Linked DNA regions of Mus musculus. The protein of the gene in region 1 purifies or fractionates together with the protein of each later gene. This does not show direct contact. Links are inferred from orthologs where the notes say so. Each region holds a gene or a part of one and is shown in the gene's direction. Other genes may lie near its edges.

Evidence for each region. The genes of interacting proteins can lie anywhere in the genome.
Region 2: the proteins of BC005624 (region 1) and Eftud2 purify together in Homo sapiens (affinity purification with mass spectrometry; 3 studies listed by BioGRID and IntAct, with this or other methods). This does not show direct contact. The link is inferred for Mus musculus from reciprocal best matches to the Homo sapiens genes C9orf78 and EFTUD2.
Region 3: the proteins of BC005624 (region 1) and Prpf8 purify together in Homo sapiens (affinity purification with mass spectrometry; 4 studies listed by BioGRID and IntAct, with this or other methods). This does not show direct contact. The link is inferred for Mus musculus from reciprocal best matches to the Homo sapiens genes C9orf78 and PRPF8.

Annotation. Positions count from the first base shown.
Region 1 is NC_000068.7:30,978,963-30,983,262, reverse strand, and holds the start of BC005624 (telomere length and silencing protein 1 homolog), read left to right. Parts: upstream 1-1,321; 5' UTR 1,322-1,402; coding exon 1,403-1,485; intron 1,486-1,720; coding exon 1,721-1,780; intron 1,781-3,212; coding exon 3,213-3,264; intron 3,265-4,297; coding exon 4,298-4,300. UniProt on the Homo sapiens protein: Plays a role in pre-mRNA splicing by promoting usage of the upstream 3'-splice site at alternative NAGNAG splice sites; these are sites featuring alternative acceptor motifs separated by only a few nucleotides. May also modulate exon inclusion events.
Region 2 is NC_000077.6:102,842,974-102,846,661, reverse strand, and holds part of Eftud2 (116 kDa U5 small nuclear ribonucleoprotein component), read left to right. Parts: coding exon 1-77; intron 78-425; coding exon 426-566; intron 567-2,420; coding exon 2,421-2,522; exon of another isoform or gene 2,523-3,025; coding exon of another isoform or gene 3,026-3,132; intron 3,133-3,229; coding exon 3,230-3,312; intron 3,313-3,688. Other genes in the region: Higd1b (HIG1 domain family member 1B), read right to left, coding at 3,026-3,132. UniProt on the Homo sapiens protein: Required for pre-mRNA splicing as component of the spliceosome, including pre-catalytic, catalytic and post-catalytic spliceosomal complexes. Component of the U5 snRNP and the U4/U6-U5 tri-snRNP complex, a building block of the spliceosome.
Region 3 is NC_000077.6:75,489,591-75,493,278, forward strand, and holds part of Prpf8 (pre-mRNA-processing-splicing factor 8), read left to right. Parts: intron 1-151; coding exon 152-316; intron 317-407; coding exon 408-626; intron 627-738; coding exon 739-951; intron 952-1,050; coding exon 1,051-1,176; intron 1,177-1,256; coding exon 1,257-1,362; intron 1,363-1,852; coding exon 1,853-2,043; intron 2,044-2,168; coding exon 2,169-2,288; intron 2,289-2,371; coding exon 2,372-2,561; intron 2,562-2,672; coding exon 2,673-2,792; intron 2,793-2,906; coding exon 2,907-3,041; intron 3,042-3,388; coding exon 3,389-3,518; intron 3,519-3,688. UniProt on the Homo sapiens protein: Plays a role in pre-mRNA splicing as core component of precatalytic, catalytic and postcatalytic spliceosomal complexes, both of the predominant U2-type spliceosome and the minor U12-type spliceosome.

The DNA of each region.
Region 1 (4,300 bases):
AAGCTGGCACACCAGCTGCAGCAGCAGCAGGGAAGACCCACAGAGGCCCGCTGTCCCTGAAGCACACCCTGCAGCTGTGAAAGCTCTGTCCCCAACCCAGCCTCACCTCCCAGCTGCAGAACTTGAAGTACGGGTTACTTCTCTTACGCCTCGGTAGCCTCGTTTTTTGAAAGAGAGACCCAACTGCATCTACTTCGTGGGATTTGATGGAAGGCTTCTAGAAGAGACTGCTTACCCCAGTGCCTGCCACAGTTAAGTGTCGAGTAAGAAGCGCTGTGCTCCAGAGGAAACTAGTAATTAAGGAGTCCCTAAAAGTCCCATGTGAGCTATTACGCATGCACTTATCCATCTTATAAGTGTTTATAGACACCTTTAAAAACTAACTACCGTCGCAACATCTCGGGGGTGTAAGGTGCTTATGGCAGAGCGACAGTCCTCCAGGCCAAACGAGTCCTCCCAAGCTCTCAAAGAGCAGTCCCTGGCCTCTGAACGTCAGTGGTACCTCTCCTAGGGACGAATGGCTGCAGGCCAACCTGGTATGGACAGTCAGCACCGGGACTGATATTCACCCCCGGCAAGGTGATCAGCTTTTGTGAGTGAGGAATAAATGTGCACGTCCGAGCCCTGGAGCCCGAGTGGCCTCCTGCTGGCCTTCCAAGCGACGTGCGGCCTGCTCAAAAGCCAGAGCCGTGGGGGTTCGGGGCGGGCACGGGAGTCGGTGATGGGATGATAGGCGGCGGGGACCTCTTACCAGGTCCTGGCCGCCCCGCAAAGCCAGGCCTCCCCTGCTCCCAGCGGCTGGACGATGATCCCCGCTCTAGCGGCCCAGCCCCCGGCAGCAGGCAGCAGCCGTCAGAAACTCACCTGCCGTCGCAACCGCGCCGCCTGTCAGTCAAGCTAGCCCACCGCGGCGCTGCCTAGAGTCTTGTGGCTCTGCCTGCCACGCCCCGCCTCCTCACCGTCAGACGTCCAATCGGGAGAGCCTATGCCAGGAGCGGGGGCGGTGTCACAGGTCACAGCCTACTAGAGGGCGGTACCGGGCACGCCGGAGGCGTGGCCGTGCGAGTGGTGAGTGCCCAAGCATGCCGGGAGTCGGGGGAGTGGCCGTGCTGCTGGGGTTTCACCGTGTGGTTCGAAGGCCGTCCTGTTGAGCGGTGAGCATGGTTACTCGATGGGCGTGGTCGAGGGTGTGGCCACGCGGCAATACCTGCCCTTGCTTTTCGGAGTTCGGAGTGGTTGCCTGCCCTGCTGAGGCGGGGCCCTACGGGCTTGGGGTGTGGCCTGGCAAGGCGGAGGCGGGTCTGAGTGCAGCCGACGCTCTGACGACACTTCTGCGCGCCGGAAGAGAGAGGTTCCCTGGACTACGCGTCTGGTAACGCAGCGCCAAGGGTCTGGTTCCGCTATGCGGATTACTGGGAAAACATTCCGCCGGCGCCGGGCTGACTCGGAGTCGGAGGAGGATGAACAAGAATCAGAGGAGGTTCGGTACGTGTTGCTGAGACAGGCTTGGGACTGGATACCGGCCAGCGCCACGCAGAGGCTCCTAGGGATAAGGCCACATCGCGGCTGGGAGAGGTGCCCCGGGGTCGCATGGGTCTGACTGCCGATGACCACTGGATCAGGGACTCGGCAAAGGGACATGTCCTTAGAACGGAGTTTGGCTTTTGAGTTCCGCAGGTCTCAACCTGTGCGTCACTTTTTATTCCTTTTTTTCCCCCAGGCTAAAACTGGAAGAAACCCGAGAGGTGCAGAACTTGCGGAAGAGGCCAAATGGGGTGAGGTGGGTACCACGGGGGTGGTCGCGGCGTCATTGATTTCCAGCTAAAACAAAAATTTCCAGCTAGGGTCGCAGTCACAAATCCCTCCTTTGACATACAGTTCTACTGATCATAGAGGGAACTAAGGTTCTTTATAAATGTTTGTCACATGCCCTGAACCTGATGGTCTATGGGTCTGCTCCAAGTCACTAACTGTAAATTTTAGCTGGACTGATGAATTGTGATTGACAACGTGTTAAGAGATAAGAATTTGGGAAACTTAGGTTAAAAAGTATAATAAATAAACAATAGCCTGGTTTGGTGCAATCCTATCACAGGGAGTTTGAGGGCAACCTAGGCTTCATAAGAAGAATAAAGAAAAAGAAAAAAACTTGAGGTAGAGAGACAGCATTTATAATAATATTTCCATTTATTTCCCACCTATTTCTTTTTTAGTTTATCCCATGCTTTTAAAGAGTTAAATCATCATATTACTGTGAGCCTCTGACCATGGTGTGTGTTTTCCAGAAAACCTTTTTAGAAGGCTGCGTCGTGTGCATTGCCAGGGGTGTGCACTATAACTTGCTACCAGATTGACTGGGATTGTGTGCTGCCTCACACCTAGACTCCCAGACTTGAGAAACTGAAACAGTGGGATTACCATGAGTTTGGTGCCAGCCGGGCCTGCAGAGTGAAACTGGTCTCAGCATCAACAAGGCCCATCCTAGTGCCATAGCACTGTAGTCCCAGCTGTGTGGGAAGATCACAGGTTTAAGGCCTGACTGAGCAACTATGAGACCTGGGTCATAAAGTAAACAAGAAATGGTGGGGATAGCTCAGTGCTGGTGTGCTTACTCAGTCCCTGTCAAGCCTTGGCTTCAGGTTTTAGGGTCATTTTGATAAATTTTCCTCTGGCATATGTCTTCTGATACAGATCCCTTGACTGGCAGAACCTTACTCTGTGATTTCCAGAATATCAAATGGCTTTGCAGGAGCGTGCGCCAACTGCTTCATTGCCTCTCACCCGACCCCCCATTTCACCATTCACAGCGAGCAGAGCACTGGGTTCTTCTTTGGCTTTTGTAACTACTGCCCACTACTCTCTCAGTTATGTAATCCCAATTGTCTCAGTTTGCTTCCTACTGCTGTGACCAGGACCAAAACAACTTGTACCCTTCCTGATCATCCTCAGTTATTGGGGGAATCATGGCAGGGCCTGAAGCAGAGACTGGAGGACACTGCTTCCTGGCTCATTCACATCCAGCTATGTTGTACAACACAGGCCCACTTGCCCACGGGGAGGAGCACTGTCCACAGGAGCAGGTTCTCGATTGAAGTTTCTTCTTCCCAGACAATTCCAGCTTATGTCAGATCAACAAAACCCTAGCCAGCACACTGATTTCCTCCTTGTCTCTGTGTTGTTTCTCTTTCTGTGGTTTGGTTTCTTTTGCTCAGTGCGGCTGCCCTGCTGGTAGGAGAGAAGGTTCAAGAGGAGACTACTCTGGTGGTGAGTGTTGGCTCCTCTCTGGGGCTGTTCTTCCTCTTTTTTTTTTTTTTTTTTAAGATTTTTTAAATTTATTATATGTAAGTACACTGTAGCTGTCTTCAGACCCTCCAGAAGAGGGCGTCAGATCTCATTACAGATGGTTGTGAGCCACCATGTGGTTGCTGGGATTTGAACTCAGGACCTTCAGAAGAGTAGTTGGTGCTTTTTTTTTTTTTTTTTTTTTTTTTGGTTTCTCTGTGTAGCCCTGGCTGTGCTGGAACTCACTCTGTAGACCAGGCAGGCCTCGAACTCAGAAATCTGCCTGCCTCTGCCTCCCAAGTGCTGGGATTAAAGGCATATGCTCTTAACTACTGAGCCATCTCTCCAGCCCCTGTGACTATAACCATGGTACCAGGGAGATAGCTCAGAGTGTTTGTTATGTAAGCACAAGAGTCCATGTTTGGATTCCATGGCATCCCATAAAAACCTAGGCATGGTGGCACATGTCTATAATCTGAGCACTGGGGAGGCAGAGAGGATAATGTAGCGGAATAAGCAAGCTGAGAGACCCTCTCTCTCAGTATAAGTCAAAGGGTTGAGGAAATGGCTCTGAGGCTAAAGTGCTAACATTGTTTCTGAGTCAGGCTCCTAGCACCCACATAATAGCCATATATGATAGCTTACATCTGTATTCCTACCAGGGGGTCCGGTGGAGTCATATAGATGTCTAGAGCTGGCTGACCAGCCAGTCCACCCAAATCAGTAACCTCCCTGTCTCTGAAATTTAAGGTGGAAAGTGATTGGGACAGATTCCTGAGTTTGGCCGCTTGCCTCCACAACCACACAATATGCACAATTACATATACATGCAGAGAAATTAAAACAACAACAACAGCAGCAGCATGGTGAAAGATTGATGAGAACACACAGCGTTAACATCTGGCCTGCACGTGTGTGCACATACATGTTCATGCACACCAGCACACTCGATGATGACACTAACTGAGCTGCTGTTGTTCTAGATGTGTCCTCTAAGCTGTGTGCTTTTCTGCAGGAT
Region 2 (3,688 bases), on another chromosome or scaffold:
ACTGGGTCCTGATTGAAGGTGTTGACCAGCCGATCGTGAAGACAGCAACCATAACTGAACCCCGAGGCAATGAGGAGGTAGTTTTTTGAAGGGGCACACTGAGCTAGAGAGGCACAAGGAGCCACAGGCATGTGAGCAACCAAGCTTAGAAATTGGAAAGGTCCTGCTGCAGAGCCACTGCTGCCGCTTGGCTCAGCCCTAGTATTGCCCTCACCCCTTGAGCTCTCCTCAGATGCCAGGAGTTAGGAGGACTGCCTCTCGTTCTCGCCCAGTGCTCTGCCAAAATTCCTGAAGCAAATGGTCCTTTAAATTGGGCTCCTATGTACCATGGTTCTTGGTTGGGGAGTCAAGATTTCAGTTTTTCCCTTAGGCCTGCACCTTCTTGCCTTAGGCCCTCCCTCACTCCTCTGTTCTTTGGATCTCAGGCTCAGATTTTCCGGCCCTTGAAATTCAATACCACATCTGTTATCAAGATTGCCGTGGAGCCGGTTAACCCCTCAGAGCTGCCCAAAATGCTTGATGGCCTGCGCAAGGTCAACAAGAGCTATCCATCTCTCACCACCAAGGTATGGCCAAGGCTGCAGAGCTGCCAAGCCCCACGCTCCCCGGCTGACTGCTCTGTGCTGTCTGTCTGTCATTCCGGGCCATTCAAGAGGTGTTCGTCCTCTGTTGTTTTCTACCGCCTGCCTGTTATCGTTTGAGGGCAGGCAGACTGGAGTGTGCACTTTTGTTTCCTCAGACGACTTTACATAGCCATAGTCTTCAGTGGGCACACAGTTTGAATCGGTTCTCCAGAGAAATGAGAACCAGTCATGGTGGTAGGCACCTGTGATCCCTGCATCTGGGAGACTGAGTCGGGGATCCAGAGCTCAGGGTCAACAGCCTCAGCTCCATAGGGAGTCAGAGGCCATCATGGGCTGCGGGTGGGGCCGGAGAGATGGCTCGGCAGGTAAGAGCACTGGCTCTTCTTCCAAAAGACTCTAGTTTTATTCCCAGCAAGCAGGGGGCTGCTCATCGCCATCTATAACTACCAGGGGATTGGAACTGCTCTCTTGTGGCTCCACAGGTGCCAGGCATGCATGTAGTACACAGACATAATTGTAGGCAAAGCACCCGTACACATAAAATAGTAGAAAAGAAGACAAGCAGGGCTGGAGAGAGAGGGCTCATCGGTTAAGAGCACTGGCTGCTCTTCCAGAGGTCCTGAGTTCAATTCCCAGCAAGCACATGGTGGCTCACAGCCATCTGTAATGGAATCTGATTCCCTCTCCTGGTGTGTCTGAAGAGAGCAACACTGTACTCATAAATAAGATAAATCTTTAAAAAGAAAAAGGAAATAGTAGAATTCAAAAGAGGAATACATAAGAGTTCTGGTTAGAGAGACTTGGGCCTAGAGTTTGGCCTCTACTGTTCTTTGGATTAGTGGGAAAAAAGAAAAGCAAAAGTGGCTGGGCATTATATACTCTTGAGCCTGCCACCAAACTATTTCTGAGTAGCCAGAAGGGCAAGTTAAAGGGGTACCTTGTGTGTGGATTTAAGGATAGGGTTGGCCAAGGTAGGAATCCAGTCAGTGATGCTGTGCTAAATGGTCCTGTCGTCTCGGGGACCTACTACTGGTTAGGGCAGTATGGTCCTCTTACTGCCTTATACTGTTCTTATACTGGGGACAGACTACTATTGTGCAGTATTGGTTGGCCTAGCATTAGCTCTGTCAATCAAGTTGACCTCAAGCTCAGGGTGAATCTCCTGCCACCTGAATGCTGAATTACAAGCTGTCATAGGTAGGCTTTCTTTTGCTGTAATAAAATACCATGATCAAAAAGGAAGTTGGGGAGGAAAGGGTTTATTTAGCTTATACCTCCACATTGCTGTTCACCGCTGAAGGAAGTCAGGACAGTAACTCAAACAGTACAGGAACTTGGAGGCAGGAGCTGATGCAGAGGCCATGGAGTGGTGCTGCTTACTGACTAGATCCTCATGCTCAGCCTTCCTTACAGAAACCAGAGTTGGTACCACACAATGGGTGGGGCCCTCCCCCATTGATCATTAGTTGAGAAAATGCCTTACAACTGGACCTCATGAGGCATTTCCTTAACCGATACTCCTTTCTCTGTGATGACTCCAGCTGGTGTCACATTGGCACACAAGACCAGCCAGTGGACAGGCATACCACCACACTAAGCTTTTTGCAGGCTGCGGGGCGAGGTGTGGGGTGTAGATCGTACCGAAGATTGAACCCAGGTCTCGGTCACACAGAGGAAGTGTTTAAGCACTGAACCAGCCAGCCCTTACCCTCTACTGCCTGAGATAGTCACTGCTTCTGATAATGAGCTTTGCAACCTTCATCTCTGGTGCCTTGAGTTTTGTTTGGTGACCAGGACACAGCAGTGAGCGCTGACTGCTGGGCTGCTGTGTTTCAGGTGGAAGAGTCTGGCGAGCATGTGATCCTGGGCACTGGGGAGCTCTACCTGGACTGTGTGATGCACGACCTGCGGAAGATGTACTCAGAGATCGACATCAAGGTACCCCTTCCCTTAGCCTGGCTGTCAGCTCCAAAGGGATGTCCTGAGTGGGCAAACCCTTAGCCCCTTGGATGACCACTAGAGACCCTTCTGTAGAAAGTGCTTTCAGTTGTTCTTCATCGGGGAAGGTTCTAGAGACAGGTCACCCGACTCACTGAGTCATTTTCAGTGTCATTTAAAGTCAAGGCTCCCAAGGCACAGTTATTCTTGTCCCTACATTAGGAGAAAAACTATTCTGTCTCTGCTGATTGTCTCAGAGTAGATGGTGTCATGGAGAGTGGGAGCTGGCTCTCAGACTTACCACCAAGTCTTGACCTAGCACCATGCATGGTATGACATTGTCTGCACGGCCCTGCATTACAGGGCAGCTGTACTTCTGGAGCTGGAGCCTGAGAGTGGACAGATGCAGTTCTCTAGCACTGTTCCTGTCGTCCTCTGAGGGGTGGTCAGTGAGCGGCAGGTGGCGGGAGCTTTCTTGGAAGACCATAATTAAAGCCCTAGATTTAGAGCCTAGTTTGTGCCCCCACTTCCTCCTGATGCTGCTCCCGGACTCTTTGGTGGTGATGTGGACAGTTCTTTGGCCTGCTGCTGTAGAACTGCATAGGATGCTCTGCAGAGAGAGAACAGGGATGCATCAGAATTCCCTCAGTAGAACTTTGTCCTTCCAACAAAACTGACATTTATCTCAATTGTTTCTCATTGCCTAGGTGGCTGACCCAGTTGTGACATTCTGTGAGACAGTGGTAGAAACGTCCTCCCTCAAATGCTTTGCTGAGACACCCAATAAGAAGTAAGCAGGAGGTGGGGGCTCCAGAGAGCAGTAAGGAACAAATACAGTGATGTGTGCTGGGGAAATGCTAGGAAGAAATCCATTGCTTTGTATGCTTTTTCAGTTTTTCTGTAACAGTCTTGTACCGCAGCTCAGTCTGCCCTGGAACTCATTATGTCTGTCTCAAAAAGGGGGAGAGGGGTGCAGCGTGTATGGGAAGGAAGATACCCCACATCAGCCTGTACACACATGACTATAAACATGCTCGAGCACGCACTCAAACCTATTCACACACTCAAAGGAAGAAGCTGGGTGTGGTGGCACACACCTGTAATCAATCCCATTACCTGGGACATAGAGGCAGGAGGATCAGGAGTTCTAGGCCAGCCTCAGTCAC
Region 3 (3,688 bases), on another chromosome or scaffold:
GGACTTGTGATCGTGTAGGACCTTAGTCCTAATTTGGGACTTTGGAGTATAAGGCAGCATTTTGTGTGGAACACGTGATAACTGGCTTGTCAGCAGGGGACAGATAACAGAACCCTTAGTTCTTTCTCATGGTCTCTCCTCCTCGTTGCAGAGCTCTTAAGTACATGCCTCATGCAGTCCTCAAGCTCCTTGAGAACATGCCCATGCCTTGGGAGCAGATCCGGGACGTGCCTGTGCTGTACCACATCACTGGAGCCATCTCCTTTGTTAACGAGATTCCCTGGGTTATCGAGCCGGTTTACATCTCCCAGTGGGGGTGAGAAGGGCTGGAGTATGGTGGGAGGTGTTGGGCGCTGGGGTGGGGTGTTGCAGCTGAGATCAGTGGACATGATGCTCTTGCATTTTAGGTCAATGTGGATCATGATGCGTAGAGAAAAAAGAGACAGGAGGCATTTCAAGAGGATGCGTTTCCCCCCTTTCGATGACGAGGAACCGCCCCTGGATTATGCCGACAACATCTTAGATGTTGAGCCACTGGAAGCCATTCAGCTAGAGCTGGACCCAGAGGAGGATGCCCCTGTGTTGGACTGGTTCTATGACCACCAGCCTTTGAGAGACAGTAGGAAGTGAGTGGAACTAATTTCTGTGAGAGTTCTGCAAACAGGAGCTGTGGGGAGGCAGTAGGTAAGCGACTGGGCTCAAAACCTACTTGATGGGGGCCCTCCATCTTTTCCCTAGGTACGTTAATGGTTCCACCTACCAACGCTGGCAGTTCACATTGCCTATGATGTCCACACTCTACCGACTGGCCAATCAGCTTCTGACTGACCTTGTAGATGACAACTACTTCTATCTCTTTGATCTGAAGGCCTTTTTTACCTCTAAGGCACTCAACATGGCCATTCCTGGGGGACCCAAATTTGAGCCTCTTGTTCGAGACATCAACTTACAGTAAGTTGGGAGGCACCTTGTGTGTGTTAAAATTTAATATTTATCTTAAGATCCTGTCTAACAGTGGAACTAGACAACTCACTTGACTTTCTGTCCTAGGGATGAAGACTGGAATGAATTTAACGATATTAATAAGATCATCATCCGTCAGCCTATTCGTACTGAGTACAAGATTGCTTTTCCTTACCTGTATAACAACCTTCCACACCACGTCCACCTGACCTGGTAAGACGCTTGCAGCATGGCAGTTAGAACGGAGAAGGCCAGAGCACGAGAATGTTGGCTGACTCTTCTTTTTGTTATAGGTACCACACTCCCAACGTTGTGTTCATCAAGACTGAGGATCCTGATCTGCCAGCTTTCTACTTTGATCCTTTGATCAACCCAATCTCCCATAGACACTCAGTCAAGGCAAGAGGGAATCACATGCTTTGGAGGGCGGCTGGGAATGAGAGTCCTGAAGATTGAGCTTGGGGCCTTATGCATGCAAGTTTCCTGCCACTCAGCAGCCTATGCCTCACCTTTTTCTTTTTGGACATATAGTGTAGGTTAACCTAAATTGGCTGGGTGGTTTCGTGTTGGTCTTACTCATGCAGTCCCTTTGTCTTAGCCTCTGCCTACATACTGGGATTTCAGGCCTCCTTTCTTGAGCTCAGGAGTTTTGGTCAGGAACTGACTGCAGTACGTACTTCCTATGGTATGGTACTAGAGCTCCTTTGGGAAGCTTTTAGTGGTAAGCCGGTGGGTTGATTTCCTGCTTAGCTCTCTTCTCTACTCCCTTGGCTCCTTTATCTAGCTCTTTAGGCTGCTCATGTCTTGTCAGGCATGTGTAGCCGCTACTGCCCATCTCAGTCCTGCACTCAGTGAGCGGGAAATGAACCCGCGAGGATTTCTTTTTCAGAGCCAAGAACCACTGCCTGATGATGATGAAGAGTTTGAACTCCCAGAGTTTGTCGAGCCCTTCCTGAAGGATACACCTCTCTATACAGACAACACAGCCAATGGCATTGCCCTGCTCTGGGCACCACGGCCCTTCAACCTACGCTCTGGTCGTACCCGCCGGGCCTTGGACATACCCCTTGTCAAGAACTGGTGAGGTTTCTCCCTAAGGGGTAGTAGAGCAGCATGCGAGAAAAGACTGTCTGCATGGGCATGCGGCCTTCCCAGAGGGTCTGGAAGGAGAAGGGGACAAGGCTCTGATGGGCTTATTTAACCAGGTATCGGGAGCACTGTCCTGCTGGGCAGCCTGTGAAGGTTCGAGTCTCTTATCAGAAGCTGCTTAAGTACTATGTGCTGAATGCCCTCAAGCACCGGCCTCCCAAAGCCCAGAAGAAGAGGTACAGCGCTGGAGGCCCCTGCTACACCTTGTGTTCCAAAATGTCACTCTGCCACTTTAACGCTCATCTCTATTTTTACCCAGGTATCTGTTCCGTTCTTTCAAAGCTACCAAATTCTTTCAGTCCACCAAGCTGGACTGGGTGGAGGTAGGGCTGCAGGTTTGCCGCCAGGGCTACAACATGCTCAACCTTCTCATTCACCGGAAGAACCTCAACTATCTGCACTTGGACTACAACTTCAACCTGAAGCCTGTCAAGACGCTCACCACCAAGGTCCTGTCTGGGATCTTGCGGCTCTGCTGGGCTTAGGGGTGGATGGGACTGTGGCACACCTCCTTCTGTGGCCACTATCATTAATGTTCTTTGTGTTCTTGGCCTTTTCAGGAAAGAAAGAAATCCCGTTTTGGGAATGCTTTCCATCTATGTCGGGAAGTACTGCGTTTAACCAAGCTGGTTGTGGACAGCCATGTGCAGTATCGCTTGGGCAATGTAGATGCCTTCCAGGTGAGGCCATGCTGCCTGGACCCCTGCCTGGATGGAGAGACAGGGTAAAGCCTGTGCTGGCTTTGGAGCTGGCTCTGGCTCTAAGTCTAATGGGTGATTTTTTTTTTTTTGCAGCTGGCAGATGGTTTGCAGTATATATTTGCCCACGTGGGACAGTTGACAGGCATGTATCGATACAAATATAAGCTGATGCGGCAGATCCGCATGTGCAAGGACTTGAAACATCTCATCTATTACCGCTTCAACACGGTGAGACCCAGCCCTCACTGCCAGCCTTCACACACCCTTGCTTTTTCTTTGCAGTTAGAGCTTTTCCCCAGGACCTTCTTAGAGAGAATCTCTTGACTATGTCCTTACTATACTCAGTGAATCACAGCACTTCCCCTCAAACCTACCACTGAATCCTTGCAGGAGCCTCAGTTTCTGCCTTGAAATTCTTACATGCATCCCTATTCTAGACTGAGGACTCAAACAACATTTACCCTGTCTCACGGCAGCCTGATTCATGTTCATCCTTCTACTTCTGCCTGGTTTTCTTTCTATCATTTCTCTAAAGGAATTGTTCATTTATGTTCATGATTTCTGCTTGACTGTAGGGTCCTGTAGGGAAAGGCCCTGGCTGTGGTTTCTGGGCTGCTGGCTGGCGGGTCTGGCTGTTCTTTATGCGTGGAATTACCCCTCTGCTAGAGCGATGGCTGGGCAACCTTCTGGCCCGACAGTTTGAAGGTAAGTGGTTTCCTCACCCAGGCTTGTGTTCCTGATGTCCTGTGTCATCTGTCCCCGCTCTGTGTTAAGTGACTCTGACCTACTCCTGTTGTGGTTCTCAGGCTGCTCTCTAGGATTTTCAGCTATCATGTGTTTGTATGTTTGTGACTGTCTAAAGTGGCTTGTCTCTT